Linked DNA regions of Oryctolagus cuniculus. The protein of the gene in region 3 purifies or fractionates together with the protein of the main gene of each other region. This does not show direct contact. Links are inferred from orthologs where the notes say so. Each region holds a gene or a part of one and is shown on either strand. Other genes may lie near its edges.

Region 1 (4,266 bases), on a different chromosome or scaffold from region 3:
CAAGCATCATAATACCATCATTTGTTAATCCTTCTTAATAGACAGGAGTGTTATTATTTCTAGTTTTGGTTTTTTGATATTTTGTGAGTTTTGTTTGTTTGTTTTTGCTATTAGTTGATAAACATACCTGCTGTGTCTCCTCATGTACTTGACCAAATGTATCAGTCGAGATACTATGGATTACCCCTCCAAAGCATTCTTTTAAAGTTCTGCCTCTGTTAGACAAATCATTCAATTCTTCTAAAAGCAAATAACAGCATTTTCCTTGCTTATCTGAAAAGTGTATTATGATGATATAGTGACTGTGAAAGCACTTGGAAAATTCATCATGATACAGTTGTCAAGTGTTGCCTAACATTCATGGACGTATGCATTTAAAGCTCTCAGATGCCACATTTTTTGTGTTCACTAAGTATGCTATTTGCATCTATTGTATTAAATGCTCTGCTATGCATTAGAAATAGAATTTTCTTAAGGATCTCACTTTACCAGCCAAAGGGAGCCAGAGATCATTAAAATTGGAAGGTGTGTGTCAGTCTAGTTTTCTGTTTCCAGTCCTAGCCGGTAATTGAAATAGAGATCACCTGAGACTTTGTAGCAACTATAGCCTCTATGCCACTGTCTTTATTCTATGGCGTTTCCAGCCAAATTAAGGACATATCATTTTCCTTGCAAATTCTCTTTGGAAATGTATAGTGAGGAGCACAGATACAATTTTAAACAGAGACAATTTCTAGTCATCTGGAAAACATTTGCAATATAAGCGATATTTGCTTTCAAGAAAGAGTAGGCTGATGTATTCCTGTTTTTTTTTTTTTTTTTTTTTTTCCAGCCCGTTTTAAGGCGTGAGGATTATAGTCAGTTGGTAGTGGCGATAGTGGTGGTTCTGTTCATAGAGATGGGACATTTCAGAAAGGTGTGCCTTTAAATAAAACTGCCCGCCAGTACACAAGTTAGTGACAGGCAGGCTGCAGATTCAGATAAGTAAAGATTAATGTTTCAGACTGGAGTCGGAAATCTAAAGGGCAGCAGAGGAAGCTGGAGACCCAGGCAGGGTTTTCTGTGTTGAGTCGAGAGGCAGTATTGCTTATTTCTTGGGAGAGCTCTGACTTTGTTCTGAAGCTCTTCACTGATTGGATGAGGCAATCTGCTTGCTGTAACTTCCTCTGATTGCAATGTGGATCACATCTAAAAAGACCCTCACAGCAGCATCTGGGCACCATAGCTTAGCCAGGTTGACACATAGCATTCACCATCACAGTGGGTTTTGGCCTTCATAGTTCTGCTCAATCATTAGGCTTACCCAGAGCTTAACCATACCACATTATTTTTTGGCAAACAGTCAACAACCAAATAGCTAAGACTCTTGGGTCAGAAGTTTGAATTCTTTTTTTTTTTTTTAAGATTTATTTGTTTATTTGAAAGAGTTACACGGAACGAGAATGAGAGGCAGAGAGAGAGAGAAAAGTCTTCCATCCGCTGGTTCATTCCCCAGTTGGCTGCAATGGCTGGAGCTGTGCCAATCAGGAGCCAGGAGCTTCTTCTGGGTCTCTCACACAGGTTCAGGGGCCAAGGACTTGGGCCATCCTCTACTGCTTTCCCAGGACATAGCAAAGAGCTGGATGGGAAGAGGAGGAGCTGGGACTCAAACCAGTACCCATATGGGATGCCAGCCCTGCAGGCAGCAGCTTTACCCTCTATACCACGGCACCGGCCCCAGGAGCTTGAATTCTAAGATAGTCTCCATTTCACTAGCCAGTCTTTTGGCATCTCCTGGATAAGTGGCTACTTTGACTGCAGATCCCTGTAAGAATGGTACAGACCCTGTGCCACTCCAGATCTGAGACAGCCTAACAAATTCTTCAACCTCTCTGCAATTTAAACTCTTACTTGGAGGACTTGAAAGTACCTGTGATGCTCTTAACCTTACTTTTTCTTGGCAGAAGCCCTCCTCTCAGTCAGTTTTGCAAGCATCATTCTTTTTTGTCCCGGTGCAGAGATTTTGAATATTTCTTTGGACATAGCACAGCTAGATTAACCCTCAAAATGTATGTGTGTGTGTGTGTGTCCATCTGTGTGTGTGTATATGTATATATTTCTGAAAGAAAGTGTTGGGCAGTCAGAGTGGCCACGGTGACATCATGCATGCAAGCATACTTCTAGCCTTCTGTCTGGTGTGAGTAGGCACTTGCTTTGGGGCCCCACACAAGCTCAGGAGGATCAGGAGAAATGTATAGTTATGGTATGGTACTCTGTTATGGCATTGCACTCTGGAAACTTAAAACCTACTTAAGGGACACGAAGCTGATGCTTGTAAGAACGGCTTGCCATGCACCCGGACAGATACCTGGAATTCATTACTTTATATTAATAATCAGAAGATCTCATTAACTGGAAGTTTTAGGCCACAGGCATGAGCATTTGTATCTCATTGATCAGCCTAGGTGGAAGTGATTCATTCTATAAGGTATTAGACCCCTAACTTAGTCCAAGAAGAAATGCTGAAGTCATTTGAAGGCAAAATAAAATATCAGGGCTCTTTGATCTGATAAGGGCCAGCGCTGCAGCTCAATAGGCTAATCCTCCGTCTGCGGCGCTGGCACCCCAAGTTCTAGTCCTGGTCGGGGCGCCGGATTCTGTCCCGGTTGCTTCTCTTCCAGTCCAGCCCTCTGCTATGGCCCGGGAGTGCAGTGGAGGATGGCCCAAATGCTTGGGCCCTGCACCCGCATGGGAGACCAGGAGAAACACCAGGAGAAACATCCGAAGGCTCCTGCCTTCGGATCAGCGCCATGCGCTGGCCGCGGCGGCCATTGGAGGGTGAACCAACAGCAAAAGGAAGACCTTTCTTTCTGTCTCTCTCTCTCACTGTCCGCTCTGCCTGTCAAAAATAAAAAAAAAAAAAATAAAAAAAGAATATTTTATAAAATAAAAGCGATAAGGAAATATTTACCGAAATCTGTAAAATTCATAAAGGAGGTAGGTCATGTAAAACCTAAATAAGGTAATAATTGTATAACTAAGTTCACAAACTGTTATCTGCACTTTAAAACACAGTAGTATCTCATTCCGGTTAGATGTAATTTGATAAATTCCCAGATTTCTATTTTGTGATCTTAATTGATTAAAAATACCATGTAGAAAGTTTTGATTGAAAACAGGTCTAGCTTAAGCAGTTTTCTTTTTTTAAACAAAGTGTGAGTATATGTTTTACATATTTGCTTTTACTTAGGAAAAAAAAACTGACTTAGAAAAATACAACTTGGGTGTAGTAGCATGTGGTGTAAACAGCTGAACTATTTTGCTTTTTACTTTCCTATGAATGAGCCAGTATATATTTATTACTGGAGTTCCAGCTATAAAATTCAGGTAAGGGGTTTAAATATACCCTAGAGTATTATTTAAAAATAAATTTGTTTCTTTCAAATAGAATACCAAGCTTGGTCTGTGACATTTGGGAGAGAAATTAAAATATTAAACTTTTATTGCCTAATAAACTTAAAATAAAGGTTAAATAAATACAAAGTAGAAAAAATATATGTACAAAATCACAACCTCTAAAAGAAACAGACAGTCCACTGTTCTCTACTGTGGGAGTTTTATCAGCGCCAGCAATTCCACCTGTAGGGCAGTGCCAGTCCTCAGAAATGTAAACAAATATGTACTTTGTTTATATAAAGAAATAAGTAGCATGGCTTGTATTTCTTTATAGATATCACACTGCTAAATGGATTGTTTCAAGGCACCAGTAGGGGCCAGCAAAGAGCTCTTAAGAGTTTTTCAGAACAGAATTGGCATTGAGATATGTTTATTTGATGTGTTAAATCCTTTTTAGACTTCTTTACTTACCACAGCACTCTTGTAAGTGAATGGATTGCAGAGACAGTAGAATAAAATATCCTATGTGCTCAGAATATATTGGGGTATAGTTCTTCTGCCTAATCTGCATATATTTTGAAAGGAATGTTTGCTTAGGCTGTTTCTTGGCAGAGTTTTAATAGTCAAAATACGAACGGCATCATTTAAAGACTGTACCACTTGGCTCGAAAAGAGCTTAAAATTTCAGCAGAAAATGCTTGGTGACAGCTTCTCAAACTTTTTTTTTTTCTCAGACCTATGCTCCATTCTTACAATAGCATTACCAGACTGGTTTCAGAATGTAATCCTTAAGCTTTCGCTTTTTATAACTGGTATTTGGAAGCTGAAGTACTTATCTGTTTGATTTAATGCTAAAAGTTTAATTCACTCCCCAAGTTTGGGTGTTTCCAA
Region 2 (3,594 bases), on a different chromosome or scaffold from region 3:
GGGCTCTCAAGCAAGCAGCACAGGGACAGGAGGACTAGGCTACATCCTGAGTTAACTCTACCCAGACAACCCAGCACGGGGAGGAAAAGCACACGGTCTGTAACACCAGAACCAGCGAGCAACAGAAGCAACTTCAGTGCAACCATGGGGCCAGGGAGGGTGTGGCGACCACTGACTCTGGAGGAGCTTGCTGCTACCTGGCAATGCCACTGCTGCTTCGGCTGCAGAGAGGCAGTACGAGCACACGCGTGTGCACCTGTGACTCATTTCGCCTGAGTTAGGACAACACGCAGGCTGCTCCTCACACATGAAGTGGGGGCCCAGGAAAAGAGCAGGGTGTAGGCAAAGTCAGTTCTGACAAAGCGCTCACAGCAAAGAGCTCTCCAACCCACAGCCACAGTCCTGAGCCACGGTCAGTGGAAAGAGAACACAGACGGTGACAAACCAAACGGAAGGGAGTCACGTCCATGGACACACGAGAAGAAGCCGAGGAAGGAGACACATTTCAAGAAAGACACAAGTCCCGGTAAGAGTGCAATGGCACGAGGATCCCGGCAACACCGAGTGCTCCTTTGCTTCCTCGGCCAGGGTGAACCGTCAGCACTGCAGCTCTCTGGGAGCGCCATGACAAACAGCACCCCAAAGATGCCCGTGGGCCTGGGCCCACACCCACCCACGCCCACAGCCCATGGCAGCTGGGCCTCCCCACTGGTGGGGGTCGCACTTCTCAGTCAAGGCGATTCCTCCGCGAGGAGGCCCAGGGGTTACTGGCGGACCCGGCCGGGAACACGGAGCCAGGTGACAGCAGCAGCCTTACCCACGTCGTCGTCTTTGTGTTGTGGTCAATGAAGAAGGGCCGGCCGTTGGGCGCGATCCTCATCTCCCAGCCGGGCGGCAGGAAGCTCTGGGTGACTCTGTGCTGAGGTTTGGGGGAGTTGTAGGGGGACGGCTGTGGGGACTGTGGGTTGGAAAGGGTGTCTTTCACAGCCCGACGCACGGGGGAGTCCTTGGCACCCTAAGGAATAACAAGGAGTGTTAGAACTCTGTGTCGCGTGGCCCTGCACCTGGTGATGGCCGAACGCTCCTCTCTGGAGTCGGACAAAGGGGGAGGCTGCTAAAACACCTGTGTCTCATCTTCTTTAAGCCAGTCTGACCTCAGGTCTCTCTGCTGGCTCGGCACACAGCGTTCAGCGCTTCTCACCAGCTTCCCTCGGTGGCCACCAGATCCACACCACAAACCCTGCCCTACGTTAAGCACTACGCATGGAGGTTTTACGGAGCTGAGAGGAACGTGCCCCTGCTCTTAATGAGCTCACAGTCTAATGAAGAACAGATTGGCAGCCTGCGAAACGTGAAAAAAGAAGTCCCTAAGGCGATGGCGGCGACCACCTACGACTGCAGAGCTGTGGCCCGTGACGTTTCTCCGAGAATGCAGGGGAGGGATCACCTGTTCCCACCCAACGGTGTCTCGACACTGAGAATGGAGAAGCATCCAGCTAGCTCCGAGACAAGGTCAAGTCCACAGCTCCAACATTTACTTGTGGCTTCTCCCACTCTCTGACATTTGTGGTATCACAGGATGGTATTACCACAGCACGGACAGGAGAGAGGAAACACAAGCGGGTGCCCAGCCATGATTGGAGATGCAAAGAGGCTTTGGAAACACACAGAACCCATACAATGAGAGACCTTGCAGTTGAAAGGAAAAAAAAAAAATGACCAAAGCTATGTTTGGAGACTCAGTATGAGCACTGTCACCGAAGAGAGCTGCTATGCGAGTCTAATGACGTAGAACAGGCAGTCAGGAGCGAAACACAGCAGGAATGGCCAAAGTTCTGAACAGAGAGGATTCCCACACCCAGCACCAGTTCCCACGGTCTCAGCCCAATGAGAATGAGAGGCAAAGGAGTCCAGGACGCTGACTGGGCGAGACAGAGAAGCACGTGAGGCTGTCCCAGCACACCCTGCGCCTGCACCACCACCACCAACACACGGATGAGAGCACGGTGGCCGCGAGACTCAGGTCAGAGTTGCGAGAGAGGAGAGTGAGCGGGCACAGGACAGAGCGAGCCCAGGTGGATGAGGGCGCCTTCTCACCTCCAGCGGGGCAGATAAAGTTACTGTTGGCGAGCTGAGGCTACGAGGCCGGCGGATCTGAGGCTCGATTAGGTGGTTGCTACTGTTTGTGGCCGATCCGGAGGCGGCGCCGTCTTCTGCAAGCTGGTTTGGAGGCAAAAACAAGTTAGCTTCGCTCCAGGCCCTCCCCGAGGCTGTGGTGGGCAGCGTGAGCCCACGGCAGTAGTAAGAGGCCAGGTCTGTGTACAGCATGGAGGAATCCATTCAAGAGAATAAGGGGGTGGGTGGGGTAAGGACAGGAAACACAGGGGGAACAAGGATGGGGCACTGGCCCAGCGTAAAAACCAGCCTCCAAGTAACCCAGGGGGCCGAAGGGCAGGTGCACGTGGCAACGGGCTCGGATTTGAAAAACGCACCCTGGGACCGACTTGGCGTAAGGACCAGATTCTTCCTCGGGCAAACACTAAGTCACGTATTTGTTTTTTGTTTAAATGTATATATATATTTTTTCGCACAGGGGTCCTGGAGAACAGGATGTTAACACCAGGGACGGGAGGGAGGCGTCCGCAGCCTGTGACTCGAAGCTGGCTGGCGCTCTTCATACCTGCATGATGGGCCGAGTCCAAGTTGTGGTTCGATTGTTATGATTGACATAGTATGTGCGTCCCTTAGCATCTTTCCTTTCTTCCCAGCCTGAAGGAAGGCCCGGCGTGGTGTGTACATAGGCCACTGACGGCTGTTTGTGCAAGAAATCATCATTGTTTAATAACTGGCATTGGTTTTCTGATTAGTTTCACAAAGCAACGCATACTCAGATAATCTACGTTTTCCTACACAAGGTTGAGTTTGTTTCGTTTGTACAGAAAACACCTCAACAAAACAGCAAGATGTTTCTGGTCACTTCAAGTCTCCAGTGAGATGAACCCCATATGGCCATGGGGTCCAAACTCTTACAGGGCTTGCTTCTCACACCCTATGGCCTTCAACACAAAGGTCACGGCTAAGGGGACCGCAGGAAGAGAGAACGAGACACCAAGATCCGTCCCAGCTGCTACGCTTCCTGCCAACCACGGGGAGCGTCCAGTGCTTACAGGGATGCTCTGCAGGCTTCCTCCTCCCGCCGGCTGCCACGCCGTCAGCTCGGGTGCCCTACGCCACAGCCTGCAGGGCACACGGACACCTAACCCGCAGAGGCTCCTCTGGGACACTCACGCAGTGGCACAGAGTCCTGACCAGCACCCAGGACACCCGCGTGCCCCAGCTCAGGGCGTCTCCTGGCAACCTGAAGCTGCGTATGCAGCCCACTGATAGGCTGTCTCCTTAAAGGAAGCCCGGCTCTCGAGTCTCAGCCAGAGTGGAGCGACATAGGGTGCAGAAGCCACAGAAACATCTACTGAGACACGTCTGCCTGAGGGGGCGGCAGCAACACGTAGTCTGGCTGGAGCCATGGTGGGATAAGCACGGATGTGCCAATCACTTATGGAGGCGACGGGGCGGGGGAGCCCCGTGCTGTCCTGA
Region 3 (4,065 bases):
GCGGTGCTGTGGCAGAGCAGGTTAAAGCCCTGGCCTGAAATGCCGGCATCCTATATGGGCGCCGGTTTGAGTCCCTGCTGCTCCACTTCCCATCCGGCTCTCTGCTGTGGCCTGAGAAAGCAGTGGAAGATGGCCCAAGGCCTTGGGTCCCTGCACCTGCGTGGGAGACCCGGAAGAAACTCCTGGCTCCTGGCTTTGGATCGGTGCAGCTCCGGCTGTTGCGGCCATTTGGGGAGTGAACCAGTGGATGGAAGACCTCTCTCTCTCTCTCTGTAACTCTTTCAAATAAATAAATAAATCTTTAAAAAAAAAAAAAAAGGCAACACTTGCCATGAACAGGAGAAAACCGACGCACAAGCGCGCCAAATACAACGCCGGGACACTCTGGCTCCACAGCGCAGTCCTGGAGCCAGGAGGGCTGAGCCAGCCTGGGGAGCCGTGACAGCCACGTTAGCTGGGAGCGAGGTGGGAGGGGCTACCCCCTGGAAAGAGCAGGGCGGGGCCTCCCACCGGCCCCTGCTCAGCGCGTGCTCCTCGCCCTTCAGGGGGTTCCTCTCTGGCCCCAGGGTTCCTTTTGCTTTTAGGCCTGGAAATCCCTGGAGCAGATGCCTGGGGGCTGTGGCTGGGCTGCAGGGGGCTCCCCTAAGGCTGCCTGCGTCTGCTTCACCCCCCTCCCCCCACAAGCCCCTCCAGCACTGGGAGGGGGGGGAGTGGGCACAGGGCCAGGCTGGCACAGGGCAGGGCCGACTGGGCCCCGGCAGGCCCGAGGGAGCAGGGGTGAGCTCATCCCCCGCCCTTAATTATCGTCTTGGCTAATGAGCAGCTGGGAACCTGCAGCCCGGCCCACAGGGAGGACCCTGGGGACCCTGGGCCAGATGTCACCCGGAGGCACCGGGAGGAAACTGCTCTGGGGGAAGGGACTTACACTTCCTGCCTCCTCCCAGCCAGGGATGACAGCGGGGCCGGGGCCGGGGCAGGCAGGACACTGGAGGGGCTCCAACCCCGGGCTGGGCACTGCTGTTCTGTGGCCTTCAGCAAACGACTCGGGCCCTCGCTGTGTTAAGTGTGGGGAACACTGCCCCGCCCTGGCCCCGCCTGGGGTGCTCGTGAGACCTGCAGACCACAGCCAGGGTCTGCTCTACGGCACCCTCCCCGGGTGCACACGCACCCTGGGGTGCCTCGGCTCCTCTTCCGTAGAATGGGTGTGAAATGTCTGTCCAGTTCCCAGCAAATGCCACCGGTACAATTCACAGTAACTTAGCATTACTGGAACATTCTAGACAAGAGGGGCTCAGAGGGCTGCTGCAGGTCCCCCATCCTCAGCCCACCCCCGAGGTGGGTTTCATGAGACCCACCCTGAAGACGAGGCACCCAAGGCTCTGGGGGTGCAGCAACGTGCCGGGGAAGTTCAAGTTCACGGCCCAACCCGTTCAACCCTAGCACTGACGGCACCAGCGAGTGGCCAGGAGGCCGTCCTCTGTGCCAAGCACTCGATGTGCTCACACCAGAGAAAACAGCACAGAGAGGTCAGGCTGCTTTTCCAAAGCCACACAGCATAAACGGCTGGACTCGAACCCTGGCAGTCTGCCAACTTCCATTACCACTTTCCCCCGAGAATCTGTTCCCCCAAGTGTCCCTGCCTGCCTGGCATCGCGACGCCAGCTCTGGCTCTGGGGTTCCAAGCCTGCCCTGCCCAGCTCTTACCACTAATGATGCTCTGCTGGCTGGAGGCTGGGACCGCAAAGGCCGCTGGAACTGGCTTTGTGGGAAGAACCTGTTTCCTGCCACTCTGGACTCCCAGGTGTGACGGACAGCCAGAGCACAGGGCAGCCAGCCTGTGTGCCTGGCGCTCCTCTGCAGAAAAGACAGAGAATGGAGCAGACCCAACCCAGGGAAAAGCTCATCACCACCCCCAACTCCCAAGGCCCTCCCTTGCTCTGCCCCCCAAATGTTTAATTTCACAAGGGGCAGGAGAGATGGGGAGGTGGGGCGGGGGGGGGGGGTTAGGAAAGCCCCTGCCAAGGAAGGGCCATTCAAGCTGAGATCAATGAAGTGGAGAAGTGGCACGGGCAGGAGCAAGTGGCATGGCAAAGGCACTGGGGCAGGAACAGCCTGGTGCTCTGACGGCGCGGGAGGAGAGCCCAGGCCGTGCAGGAGGGAGCCAGGGATGCCCGACGCCCTGGCCTGCAAGCTTCTGCCAGAGACAGGCAAAGAAGCTACCGGCGGACAAGCCGTCCAGCTCCCAGGAGCCCCAGGTCCACCAGCCCCTCTGGGCTCACCGGCCTTGCAGCACCCACCCCTCGAACGGGCCTCACTGGCCACGGCGAGCGCCCACTTGCAGCGACCAGCTGCTATGCCCACACTAACTGGGGCCTCTCCCAGCCGGGGGCGCAGGCCTGGAACCAAACCCTGGGATCCCTCCGCACCTCGCAGCGGTAAGGTGGGCTAGCTCCGTGGGGGTCTGTCTTGAGCTAAGCGTACTCACTGGTAGGACAGGGCTGGGCATCTGGTGGGCAGGGCGCCTGCTATTACGGTCAAAATAAGCAGGATGACACACTGTCAAGGGGGTGGAACTCTCTGGCTCCCGCTGCGCTGAGGCCTCCGGGGCAGCAGGCATGTGGCCGAGGTTCGATAAACCTTACGAATGAGTAAACGACCAGCTGGCTCCAGTCCCAAGCTCTTACCTGCCGGGCGCCTCAGTTTCCCCGTCGGTAAGCGCGCGGGAAGAGGACAGCCCGTGGGGCTGGGGTGAGGCTGGCGGAGGCACGGCGCTGACGGCGCGGCCCCAACCCACCAGCGCCCCCCGCCCCGCCCGCCGTCCCGCCAGCTGCGCGGAGCCCCCGCCCACGCCGGCCGCCCCGGCCCCGGCCCCGAGCGCACGTGACTCCGCCCCGGCCCGGCCCGCCCCGCCGTCCCAGCGCAGGCGCCTATTGGCCACGCCGGAGGTCCCCGCCCCCGTCCGGGGCGGAGCCTGAGGCGCCCCGCCCGCCGCAGAGCGGGGTTCCTGCGTCCCGACGGTGCGCGGCGGCCGGACCGGGCTGGCGGGCTGGCGGGCGGAGCCGGGCCCGCGGGGCTGCTGCGGGGCGACCGGGCCGGGGCTGCGGGCTGCGCCATGGTGAGCGGGGCCGGGCGGGCTGGGCGGTGCGCCAGGCGGGGGCTTGAGGGAGGGGAAGGGGCGGCCCCGGACGGGGTGGGGGCGCGCGCGCGGGCGCGCGGGGCGGCGGTGCCCCGGGCCTGGGTGGGAGGTGGTCTTCGCGGCGAGGGAGGGGCGGCCCGGGCCGGGGCGCGGCTGGCGGGAGGGAGGGTCTGTCTGTTCCGGGGGCCGCGCCCGCGGCGGGGGCTCTTTGTCCGCTGCGCTGCGGAGAGGTCGGGACAAAGGAGGCGGCGGGGGGCGGAGGCCGCCTCGCGGGGAGCGGTGCTCCAGCCCCCTGTGCACGCCCCCCGCCCAGGCCCGGGCCGGCCTCCGGGGCTCCCTGGGACACTTCGAGGATTTTCAAAATTGCTTCCAAGGCTTGGGTCCTGGCAGCCCCCAGCGCGGTCAGGCGGATTGCGGCGACGGAATCAGGCGGGAGTCAGGGGTCCGGGCGACGTCCGGCGCCTGGCGCGCGGGTGGGGAAACTGAGGCGGGCGCGGCTCCGTCGGCGGTGACGGCGTGGCGTGGGCAGGACTGGGTCTCGTGGCCGCCGACCCCCGCCCCAAGGCGGGCCGGCTCCAGCCGCCTCCAGCTGTCGCCCCCTCCCCAGCTGTCGCCCCCCCCGGCCGAGCCCCTGCGTCCCTGGCACCGGGCTTGCTGCTCCGTGCGGCGCGGGGACGCCGGCGGCCCCGCCAGGGTTAATGAGAGGGTGCGTGGAGCGCCTGGCACCCAGCCTGCTCGCCGCCCGCGCTCGCTGGCGTATGGGTGCTTGTCATCCTGAGTCCCGAGGGCGACCGCCCTGGGGTCAGCTGGTCCCAGGCCCCTCGGGCACCGGGGAGAGGAGCTGGGGGTGGGTGGGTGAAGACTGTGACAGTTTAGGGTCACGATTGGGAGCTGGAGTTCCGGCTGCAGGCCACCTGGGTGATTGGGTC

Evidence for each region.
Region 1: the proteins of LITAF (region 3) and NEDD4 purify together in Homo sapiens (co-immunoprecipitation; 4 studies listed by BioGRID and IntAct, counting the BioPlex papers as one, with this or other methods). This does not show direct contact. The link is inferred for Oryctolagus cuniculus from reciprocal best matches to the Homo sapiens genes LITAF and NEDD4.
Region 2: the proteins of LITAF (region 3) and NEDD4L purify together in Homo sapiens (affinity purification with western blotting; 3 studies listed by BioGRID and IntAct, counting the BioPlex papers as one, with this or other methods). This does not show direct contact. The link is inferred for Oryctolagus cuniculus from reciprocal best matches to the Homo sapiens genes LITAF and NEDD4L.

What each region holds. Positions count from the first base shown.
Region 1 is NC_091443.1:78,617,959-78,622,224, reverse strand, and holds the start of NEDD4 (E3 ubiquitin-protein ligase NEDD4), read left to right. Parts: upstream 1-1,393; 5' UTR 1,394-4,266. UniProt on the Homo sapiens protein: E3 ubiquitin-protein ligase which accepts ubiquitin from an E2 ubiquitin-conjugating enzyme in the form of a thioester and then directly transfers the ubiquitin to targeted substrates. Specifically ubiquitinates 'Lys-63' in target proteins.
Region 2 is NC_091441.1:20,023,545-20,027,138, forward strand, and holds part of NEDD4L (E3 ubiquitin-protein ligase NEDD4-like), read right to left. Parts: intron 2,813-3,594; coding exon 2,681-2,812; intron 2,221-2,680; coding exon 2,098-2,220; intron 1,016-2,097; coding exon 818-1,015; intron 1-817. UniProt on the Homo sapiens protein: E3 ubiquitin-protein ligase that mediates the polyubiquitination of lysine and cysteine residues on target proteins and is thereby implicated in the regulation of various signaling pathways including autophagy, innate immunity or DNA repair.
Region 3 is NC_091450.1:25,062,121-25,066,185, reverse strand, and holds the start of LITAF (lipopolysaccharide-induced tumor necrosis factor-alpha factor), read right to left. Parts: upstream 2,838-4,065; 5' UTR 2,685-2,837; intron 1,855-2,684; 5' UTR 1,705-1,854; intron 1-1,704.